Oryzias latipes: one gene and its partners. The main gene of each other region encodes a partner of the protein of the gene in region 3 in a complex. Links are inferred from orthologs where the notes say so. Each region holds a gene or a part of one and is shown on either strand. Other genes may lie near its edges. The genes, in order: sarnp, thoc7 and thoc6.

Region 1 (4,241 bases), on a different chromosome or scaffold from region 3:
GCTGAGAAAAGTTTCTTTTTTTAGACAATTGCTTTATCCAAAACACCTGACAGTAAAGACAGTAACCAATAAAAATCTAAGTGAGAGCATGAACAGCCATACAGATTTGTGCGTTTGGCACCAACCATCCCCGTGTTCACTGCGTCTGACCAGCGGACATTTTCGGATCTAAAGTGAATTCAAACCTACGCAGCAACACAAATGGACAGACTGGGCTCTCAGCACTGGCCTTGATCGAGCAGAAAATGACTTCTTGACGGAACTGAAGAGCAATAATCTACATGACAGGATGATGGAACTGTTTGAGGAAAGAGAGGAGGGTGGATTTTGTCATCAAATAATCTCATCTTCTGATGAGTGAACATCTAAATATCATAAATAAATTCCTAATTGATGTGGTTATGGTAGCGGTAATGTTTTGTGCTGGCTGTAGTTGCATAACAAGATTTGTTTACTGTTTTCTGTATTTAGAGGCACTGATTGTGGCTGCAGGAATTTTCAATCTGCAATGCAAAGCTAGTTTCTGCATCATAATATGGTTAATGAGGCGTTGAGTGATTCAGACGTTGCACTACTGAAGGCCCAGGTGTGTAATGCACGGTCCGCCACTGATGTTATCCTACCACTATTGTTATTTATTTTTTTGCAAAGTCACCATAATCCAGTCCTTATCAGAGTAAGAGCATATTATTCATCAAGTATGATGAATAATATGAATGGATGGAGTCCTTTAAAAAAGCAAAATATTTAAGTTTAAATAACTAGGTTGTGCTCTTATTTGGTTAAATTTAAGTTACAGATTCGTTTTTCCACTTTTTAGGAAAGATTTGCTTTATTTTTCAGAAAAATAGATGTTTTTGTATTAAACAGTTTGGCTTTAGCATCTACCCAAAGTGAGATTTCAGCAAAACTTAATCTAAAAACACCAAACCAAAGGAGCAAACACGAGCACAAAGGTGAAGTCTGAGGTCAACTAGTGTTTTTCTGAAGCTTTTCTCTTCTAAAATTAGATTTCAGAGCTCAGACGTGATCTAAAATCTAAACCAAGGTTTATTTGTGAATGAAAACGACTCATACTTACTTCACCAGCAGACAACGGAGGAGAGATTTTCACCACTTTCTTGTCTTCAGACCTGAAGGTAGAATTTATTTTCTCAAAAATTAAAAAAAAAACTAAGAACATGACAGTCCAGCAGATCCAGCTGAACTCTTTTTTGATGTTCTCATCTGAGCAACATCGACTGTAATTCCCTGAAAAGTTACTATCTTACAATAATAGTTAATGATAAACGATAACTTTATTCACACGCAAAGAGGAATCTGAAAGGTAAAGAGGAAAAAGCACATTTGTTGTACAGTTAACTTACTCTGGAATTGCGATTGTTTCAGTGTGGTTGTCCTCCTTTATGCTGTTGGAGCTCTCAACTTTAGTGAATTCCTAAAAAGAAAAGAAAAAAAAACAGACATACTGCTTTTGTGAAACAAACAAGCAGAAGAAACAAACCTGAACAATATTTCATGATAAAATTTGGAGTTTATTCAACTAAAAACTGTGTGTGAGCTGTGTCTGCCTGAAGAAATGTAATCAATAAAATGAATAGATTTGTGTATTTGACAAATCAATATTGATTTTCTCAACAAACATTGATTGAACGTTTCTGTTTTATTGCTAAACTAGAAGAGAACGGATAGAATAAAAGACATTACCGGTGTGTCCTCTGCCAGAACTTCATCAACATCCACATCGTCCTCTGTGGTTTGGATGACAACACAGACAATATGAGCTGGCAGGAAACAACATTTGGTTGATGTGCAAAAACGGGTCACCCGGTTCTCACCGTGCTCCTCCAGGTAGGCTTGGAGCCGAGCGATCAGCTCGCCCTTGTTTCCCTTGGTTTCCAGACCGCGGGCGTCACACTCTTGCCTCAGCTCAGCAAGCTGAAAGGGAAGATGAAACCTCAAATTAACAATTGGTTTTAAAATTTACTGACGTGATTCAAAAAAAGTAAAACATAGATCAGCCAACACCTGCTTGGAAATATTGGTGTAATTGAAACTATAAAAAAATATATATATATTTTTCCATCTCCACATCAGTAACCTTCTTACTATTCCATAAAACTCTGTAAACGAAAGGACGGTTCTTTTTTATTAAAGATAAATTTACCACGATCTGAAAGCACCTACATAAACTGATTTCATCATCTGTTGAACTAAATCAGTTTAAATTGATAACAATAATTTGTGCATTGTTAGAATTTTATTTTTCCTTTTATATATATACATATATATATATATATATATATATATATATATATGTATGTTACGATTACTTATTTTCAAAATGGTCGTTCATCACATTTGCTTTGAAAAGCAGAAATGCAGGATTGAGTTAAGTTAAGTAAAAAAAATCTCTCATTTTTATTTTGTCTTTCCAAACAGCGGTTGTGGTTCGGTCCATTTACCCACCTCTCGATTTTTGCTGTAACTGATTGTTTTCATTGTTTTACGTCGAACTTTATTACTGGTGGGTTGAAAGATAGTTTCTCAGATTATCCGTTCATTTCCCTCCGCGTTTCCTTCGTCGTTCTTTTAGCCCGGATTAGCTCAGAACACATGCCGGTTCGTAGACTTAAGACCCGGAGAACACGATTTTCTGCAGCCCGCCGCCACCCCGCTAGCTGGTTCCGGTGTAAATACTGACTTCATCATTTCCACCACAAAGAAATTCACCCAATGTCAGGAAAAACGTATTTTTAATTCTACCAACCTTCAGCTTTTGGAGCTCCACCACTTCAGCCATCTTTCTCTGTTGATGTATTCCTGCCGTCCAATCAGAGTCGAGCTTTTCTTCCTCTGTGCTCCTGAACAACGACGTCATTGATCACAACGACGTCATTGATCACAGCGCCTCCTGTCGGGCATATTAACGCCGTGCAGATGGTCCTGCTGCATTTTAAACAAACTTGTAGAGATTTTGTTCAAAATAAAAATTAATAAATCGCCGCAAAATTTTGTAAAAATAAATGTAAAAGACGTGTTAAGACCTTAACAAACTTTTTATTATATAAAATCATGATTAAAATGCGATTTTATAATACTTATTCAATTTAGCCTCAGATAAAAAGTGTTTACTAACATTTTTTATCCTTATTTATACTTTTTTCGTAGACATTCCTCACTGTTTTCTTTGTTCTCAGTTCATTTTATCTTATCTTTGCCATATAGATTGTGGATGTTTTTTAGAAGTTAATTTTCTTCTTTTATTTTCTTTACCTGGAGGAATAATGGAAGCAGTTTATGCAGTGGATCCACATTCATGTATTTGAGTAACAGCTACATTTAAATCAGTTGACATCATGCTGGAACTTTCTAAAACATGTATTTTTTTCAACCACATCTATAAAACACAATTATATTACTGTCTGATGAAAAAATTATTTGCTACATCCATGTGGCAAATAAATAAAGACTATTTTTCCTAATTTTCCATGAATCATCAGGTGTGGATCTTCACAGATCTAAAATGTCAGATAGGCCTAAAATGTCACCTTCATTGTTTAACACATTGGTTTCAAAACTATTAACTCACCTGACCAGGCCATGTTTGTAAAAAATAAATTCAGGCTGGACTGAGGAATCAAAACCATCTACAAGTCTGAGAGGTTTACAGAGGAATGCAGGTGCTTGTATGAAATGTTTGAACAATTAATGAGAGTTTAACCAAAAAAAAATAAAAATAAAATTCTAGTTTAAGCAGTTTTTCTGTTTTAGTACTACACACAACAGAGGTAAAACAGATTTTGTTCCTTTTTATATTTATGTTGCAGTTCTCGTGGTGAGAGAAAAAAAAATTCAATCACAGTACAACAATACTGAACAAAAACTGACAGCATTGACCTTGGCTCTTAAAGAGGGTCAGCTGACACACGCCACCGGCTGAAAGAACCCAACACCAGCGGGTCTCAGGCGTGGATGGACTGAGACACGAGGCGGGGTCAGGGTGAACACAAAACAGATGAAACGTGTTCAAACTGGATTTGCTGTGAATGCTGACATTGTTCAAAAAGAGGTTTAACCCAAGCTGCAGCTCGGCATACGATACACAGACAAAAAAAGTTCCAATAGACTGACTTTCAAGTTGTGGGCATGAAGGACAAAGCCGGATGAATTTAGGGAGTCACAAGTGCTTCCATAATCCTCATTATGGTTGCATTCCTTCCATTGTTTCAGCAAGAATG
Region 2 (3,803 bases), on a different chromosome or scaffold from region 3:
TGCATAGCTGCTATGGCTTCTATCTTTTATTCCACATTATCCTGCAGATTGCTGGCATGCGTCTAGCTGATCAAATCCCCCTGGTGATCCGTTATGAAATGCTGCAACAATCAGCCAGCCAGCTCCAGAGAGAGATGCTGCAGATGATTCAGGACAAGGAGAACTTGGATTTCCTGCTGAAGGAGGACTTTGACATCGGCAGTAAGAGGGCTACTTTGCAGAATCGCCTTAAGCGCCTTTTGCAGGCCCGTGCATACCTAGTAGAGTTCTAAAAACTTTGAAGGATCTGTTTTCTGCATCTCCAAATTACATGTTAGTGTAAATGTTCAGTTGTTGTGTTTGGGTAGTCCAGTAGAATCTGCTGTTTCTAACAGGAATGATTATCTTACAGCAGCAAAAGTCATTATATGGGCACACAGATGTTTTCCTTTTATATATTGTTATAATCACCTCGAGTGTGGAGCATGTTTTTATGTTCATTGTTTTATTTGGGCATATATATAGAGGGAAATTATTATCAGTCTGTGAACTTTGATTTTTTTATTTTTATTTGAAACAATAAAAGGGAAAACCAGACAGAGCGACAGAATCAAGAGAATTTTATTCAAAAATACATACGAAAAGCATTCTGTCTCACAAACCCAAACTCATTTAAGAACATTTCATTCTGTTCCACTGTTATTCACTGTTCCCTGCAGGGCTCTCTTGACTGGCATCTTCAATATCTGACTTCTCATCATCTAAAAGAAGACAAATTTTGAGTTTAACTTTTTGAAACAATTTTAAAATCAGTTGGCATTAAGAATAAAGTGCTCACTCTCAAGTGTCTGTTGTAGCTCCTGAATGGTGGTAAGAAGAACGTGGAACTGCTTCTTCCTCAACTCCAACTATGGTGGAACAGTAAATTTGATAGAAAAAAACAACAACTTTAAAATAAATCAAATCATCAGCGAAATACACAGAAGCTGCATAAATTCTGTTTGGATATACCTTTGCATCCACATTCTCTTTGATGTGGGACAGTTGTTGGAGCTCTTTGTCAAGCGCCTCTAGCTGCCTGAAAGAAAATAAATAAATAAAAATGAAGCAAAACTGTTGTACGCTGTTTACAAGCAATCGAAAATCTGAATTAACGGAGCCACTTACTTGAGTGTTTCATGCCTATCTGGATGCTGCTGGATTACCTTGGCTAATGCATCATATTCTGGAAAAAATACAAACATATTTATAATACTCCAAGGATGTTATTGAAAAAGGACAATAAATAAAATATGCAATCCATATCAAAATATCCTTGCCTTGGCGATTTTTTCGTATCCTCTTTGCCCTCTGAATATCTTTTTTGCATTCTGCAATCTTCTCATGTGCAGATGTGATGTTTTGTTCTGCAATGGGGGGAGGGTGGGGGGGGGGGTATATAGATGAAATCTAATATTGTAAACAGAAATGCTTCCAGACGAGAGCAATAAAACCTCACCTATATTTGAATAGATCTTCTCATAGTTTTCCATTTCTCTAAGATTCATGTCATAAACCATCAACGTCTTTCCCATGGAAAACTCACACTGAGCCAGAGTGCCCAACATCCGCTGGTACTGTGTGAATCTACACGCAAACACAAGACCACAAGGAATTAAAGTGAGATTTTTTGTTGCATATTTAACAAGGAAGACACCATTCTACTCTTCGGGTATATAAAAACACATCATGGAAATGTATAGAAACAGCCTTTTGAAATGCATGGTCAGAGTTGAAACATTGTGCTGTGTGTCACACTCTGCTTGCCATAGATTGTAGAGAAGACAGTTACTCTTCTCCTTGGGTAAGTATAACTGCATGCAACTGAGACCCGTTAACCTTCTATGGAGTTTGATAAACTAGCTTGGAATTGCCTGTACACACAACGTAAGAACTAACTAATGTGACTTTTCTTTCGCAAGAAGAGTTGTTCGTAAATGCTAAATCACATTAAAATCTGGAAAGTAAATCTTCTGATGCGTCAGCTCAGACTCAGATTCATTCAGCACTGACCCTTCCTCCGGAGTCCCGGGCGAGTTGCACCATTTAGTGAAGCTTTTAAGCAGCAGGTTGATCCGGCGGTCATCTCCGGCTCCGTCGCCATCAATAAGAAGACGTTTCCGAATGACTTCATCTTTAACAGAAACGAAAGAGACAAGATAAACTATAGGCTAGATTGCAACCTGCTAATCTGAGCTAGCACTGCAGGGCAATAAATTAGCTGCACAGTTCTCCCAACTGATTGCGTAAACACTGCTACATTCTAGAAATAAGCTATTGTATACAATAACTTAACACATAAACACTTTATTTATTTTTAATAAAACTTTATATTAAACGAAGTAACCACCAAATTACCATCTGTTACGGCCCCCATGTTTGCAATGAGCAATACTATTTCCGGTAGAGCAAGATTCTTTTTCCAGGTTAAAATCAGCGGTTTCATTTTCTACTGCCCCCTATTGGTGGACATTCAATGTGGCAATTTTTTTCCCACATTTTTGTGCTTTTTAGACTCAACAGCAAAATTGAACTTTTATTATATTGCAGAATATTATTGGACTAAAAACCAATGACAGTTTAGAATACAATTGATTTTGTTTTATTTAACATTTTGCTTTTAAAAATGTCAGCTTACATTGTAGCATTACACATTGAATTTTAAATTCTAAAATGCATTTTTTAGATTGAATGCTTAAATTGCAAGCTGAATTATCAATCGAGAATGGCACATTACATATTTTGTTTTACCATTAAACCATTCATTTTTACCATGTAGCATTTAGATATTAAAATAATTGAATTATGAAAGTTTTATCATTTTCTTTCTATTAAAATATTAACTTCCTTTACTTTTGACAGCAGCATATATAGGTTCCTTTCAAACGAAATAAACCTCATGTCAAATTAAATCCTCCAACAGACTCACTTGAATAAAACATGTAAGAAAGTCAGGTCAAACATAGACTTTTCTATCAGTCAGACTTTGCTGCATATTCGTTCTTTTCTACTTTTATAGTCATATATTAACATGACAACATTGGAGCAGAATCCAAATAAAAGAAAGTTTAATAAATAAATTAAAAAAAAAAAAAAACAACCCCAAAACATTATTAGTAACTCAAATCGTTAGCGTTTTTTTTTCAAAACCAAAGAGCCACAATGGAATCATAAAGGAGCTGCATGTAACTCCGGAGCCTCAGGTTGCAGACCTCTGTTCTATAAGAACCTTTAGCTACTAAGTGGCTATTGAGGACAAAGATTTCTATCTAGCTTTAATTTCACCATTTATAATAATTCATAAATAGTAATGTTACTGGTACGGTTATAGGTACAATACCTGCTTCAACTATAGATTTAAACAGGTTTTCATTTGGCCAACATATTTTCTTGGTCACCACTTCCTCGTTTTTTTTCTGACAGATCAATTCAGGTCTGATTTCATGTTTGTTCCTACACCTTAGAAAATTACAATGAAACTTGTTTGAAACTTAATGTGCTCTATTTCTCACCAGAACACCAGCCGTGTGGGCAAATAGAGTTTTGTTATTTAACAAAGGTTCACGCGTATATTAGATTTACAGGAAAACAGTACAAACTTTCAGCAGTTTGCCAATTAGAAATCAGAGGTTAACATATTCATGCCTAGATTTAACCAAACATTTTAAGTGGGAGTGTGTTATGGTTTTGAAAATACAAGCAAAGCACCTTTTTTAACAATCTCAAAAAGGATTTGGATACAGTCATTATGTGCAGATTCAGCACTTAGAACACCCTCATGGCTA
Region 3 (2,803 bases):
CACAGACGCACATACACAGACGCACATACACAGACGCACACACAGACGCACACACGCAGACGCACACACACAGACGCACACACACAGACGCACACATAGACGCACACATAGACGCACACACAGACGCACACACAGACGCACACACACAGACGCACACACACAGACGCACACCCAGACGCACACCCAGACGCACATACACAGACGCACACACCGACGCAAACACAGACACACACACACAGAGGCACACACACAGACGCACACACAGACGCGCACACACAGACGCGCACCCACAGACGCGCACACACAGACGCGCACAAAGAGACGCACACACACAGACGCACACACAGACGCACACACACACGCACACACAGACGCGCACAGACGCGCACACACAGACGCACACACACAGACGCACACACACAGACGCACACACAGACGCACACACAGACGCACACACAGACGCACACACACAGACGCACACACACAGACGCACACACACAGACGCACACACACAGACGCACACACAGACGCACACACACAGACGCACACACACAGACGCACACACACAGACGCACACACACAGACGCACACACAGACGCACACACACAGACGCACACACACAGACGCACACACACAGACGCACACACACAGACGCACACACACAGACGCACACAAAGAGACGCACACACAGACGCACACACAGACGCACACACACACAGACGCACACACACACAGACGCACACACACACGCACACACAGACGCGTACACACAGACGCGTACACACAGACGCACACACACAGACGCACACACACAGACGCACACACACAGACGCACACAAACAGACGCACACCTGCACAACCACCCGTGTTGTTCCTGCAGCTCCAGTCTGGAGATCCCAGAGATCAACGCCATGGCGTTCAACCCACGGGTGAGACGCACGCCACTACACGCACGTGCACATGCTGATGTACACACTCACACCAAGCATTCCGCGTGTGTGTCATCAGGACAACAGTCTGGCGCTGGGGGGCGGAGACAACAACATTCACGTCTTGGACCTGGAACATGGCGTCTTTAAGGTGCGTTCGAGTGCTGTGTGTTCGTGGCAGAGCTCCATCTTCCTCACCTGTGTTTCTGTAGGCGGTCCTTCACGGACACACGGATTACGTGCACTGCTTGTGCATGAGAGAGCGGGAGGCGGAGCTTCTGTCGGGTGGAGAGGACGGAGTGGTGAGGATGTGGGGTGAGTGACAGCTGCCGTCTTTGAGCTTCATCCTTTAGTGACGATGATGATGATGATGATGACGCTCTGCAGACAGCAGGACCGGGCGGTGCGTTCACTGCCTGGAGGTCCACAAGTACGAGGTGAGGTCTGGGGGGTTGGCGGGGGGAGGGGGGGGGGCTCGGATCCATCAGGCTGACGGACGGGTTCTGATCCTCGTGCACGTCTTTCAGGTGTGCGCACGGCCCCAGCACGGAAAATGGATCAGCTGCCTGACCACCGACTCTGACTGGATGGTAAGAAGATTGGAGGCGTTCGGGTCACTGGGAACGTTTCCCAGCCCTTCCTCACCGAGGAGTCTCCCTCTGTCAGGAGTCTTCCTCAGTCAGGAGTCTTCCTCAGTCAGGAGTCTTCCTCAGTCAGGAGTCTTCCTCACCGAGGAGTCTTCCTCAGTCAGGAGTCTTCCTCAGTCAGGAGTCTTCCTCACCGAGGAGTCTTCCTCTGTCAGGAGTCTTCCTCTGTCAGGAGTCTTCCTCTGTCAGGAGTCTTCCTCTGTCAGGAGTCTTCCTCAGTCAGGAGTCTTCCTCAGTCAGGAGTCTTCCTCAGTCAGGAGTCTTCCTCTGTCAGGAGTCTTCCTCTGTCAGGAGTCTTCCTCTGTCAGGAGTCTTCCTCAGTCAGGAGTCTTCCTCACCGAGGAGTCTTCCTCAGTCAGGAGTCTTCCTCAGTCAGGAGTCTTCCTCAGTCAGGAGTCTTCCTCACCGAGGAGTCTTCCTCAGTCAGGAGTCTTCCTCACCGAGGAGTCTTCCTCTGTCAGGAGTCTTCCTCTGTCAGGAGTCTTCCTCTGTCAGGAGTCTTCCTCTGTCAGGAGTCTTCCTCTGTCAGGAGTCTTCCTCAGTCAGGAGTCTTCCTCTGTCAGGAGTCTTCCTCAGTCAGAGGTTCTGAGGTTGTTCTGTTGTTCACCTGCCAGCTTGGTCGCCACAGCCAATCAGCAGTCAGATCAGCACAGGTGGTCAGGCAGAGTCCTTCAGGTCACAACCCCGTGTTCTACCTGGGCTGGGGACCGGCACAGGGAGACCGCTACCTTGGTAGGCAGTAGTGTGAAGCAAGTTGACCGTTAAAAAATCATTTAAAAACGGATAAATCAATAATCGATATCGGACGATACCATCGATTGAGGTACTGCAGGTTTATGTTACTAGAAGATAAAACCGACCAATCACAGCAGACGACACACGTGTGATGTCATCAACACAGAATAGTCCATCATTCCAGTCCAATGTGTGGACAGACTGTGAATAAAGTCATGTGACCATCCAGTGTCTAGAATGTTCTAAGAATGTTCCCTTTGGATTCTTTGGATGTGGAAAAACAACAGTGGTGAACTTTAGGAAACTAACATGTGAATGGATTTGACATTCATTCTAGTTTACTTGTTGGTTTGGACACAGATTTCATTAACTTGATGATCTGGAAGAAATCCAAGAATCTGGAAAACTGTTCAGGAGCAGGAATTTCTGTCTGGAAGTTTAGATGAAGAGGATCTGGATCCACTTTAGGACAGAGGATCTGGATCCACTTTA

What was found.
Region 1: thoc6 (region 3) and sarnp share a complex: the UniProt entries of both Homo sapiens proteins name them as parts of the transcription/export (TREX) complex. The link is inferred for Oryzias latipes from reciprocal best matches to the Homo sapiens genes THOC6 and SARNP.
Region 2: the proteins of thoc6 (region 3) and thoc7 are in contact, whole or in part, in a cryo-EM structure (PDB 7APK), measured with the Homo sapiens proteins. The link is inferred for Oryzias latipes from reciprocal best matches to the Homo sapiens genes THOC6 and THOC7. Residues at the interface, in NP_001334633.1 of Homo sapiens: Asp229, Trp232, His245, Thr252, Gln268, Asp269, Gln284, Leu285, Ser286; in NP_079351.2 of Homo sapiens: Lys110, Arg113, Lys114, Gln117, Glu118, Ala121, Leu122, Val125.

Annotation. Positions count from the first base shown.
Region 1 is NC_019865.2:25,904,823-25,909,063, reverse strand, and holds the start of sarnp (SAP domain-containing ribonucleoprotein), read right to left. Parts: upstream 2,898-4,241; 5' UTR 2,882-2,897; coding exon 2,771-2,881; intron 1,939-2,770; coding exon 1,839-1,938; intron 1,752-1,838; coding exon 1,708-1,751; intron 1,439-1,707; coding exon 1,368-1,438; intron 1,134-1,367; coding exon 1,082-1,133; intron 1-1,081. UniProt on the Homo sapiens protein: Binds both single-stranded and double-stranded DNA with higher affinity for the single-stranded form. Specifically binds to scaffold/matrix attachment region DNA. Also binds single-stranded RNA. Enhances RNA unwinding activity of DDX39A.
Region 2 is NC_019863.2:16,703,244-16,707,046, reverse strand, and holds thoc7 (THO complex subunit 7 homolog), read right to left. Parts: upstream 2,485-3,803; 5' UTR 2,465-2,484; coding exon 2,377-2,464; intron 2,153-2,376; coding exon 2,032-2,152; intron 1,606-2,031; coding exon 1,478-1,605; intron 1,386-1,477; coding exon 1,299-1,385; intron 1,205-1,298; coding exon 1,147-1,204; intron 1,058-1,146; coding exon 991-1,057; intron 888-990; coding exon 818-887; exon of another isoform or gene 741-817; coding exon 679-740; 3' UTR 583-678; downstream 1-582. Other genes in the region: interferon-induced GTP-binding protein Mx, read left to right, coding at 48-272. UniProt on the Homo sapiens protein: Component of the THO subcomplex of the TREX complex which is thought to couple mRNA transcription, processing and nuclear export, and which specifically associates with spliced mRNA and not with unspliced pre-mRNA.
Region 3 is NC_019866.2:286,687-289,489, reverse strand, and holds part of thoc6 (THO complex subunit 6 homolog), read left to right. Parts: intron 1-880; coding exon 881-929; intron 930-1,008; coding exon 1,009-1,080; intron 1,081-1,141; coding exon 1,142-1,244; intron 1,245-1,316; coding exon 1,317-1,366; intron 1,367-1,456; coding exon 1,457-1,519; intron 1,520-2,803. UniProt on the Homo sapiens protein: Component of the THO subcomplex of the TREX complex which is thought to couple mRNA transcription, processing and nuclear export, and which specifically associates with spliced mRNA and not with unspliced pre-mRNA.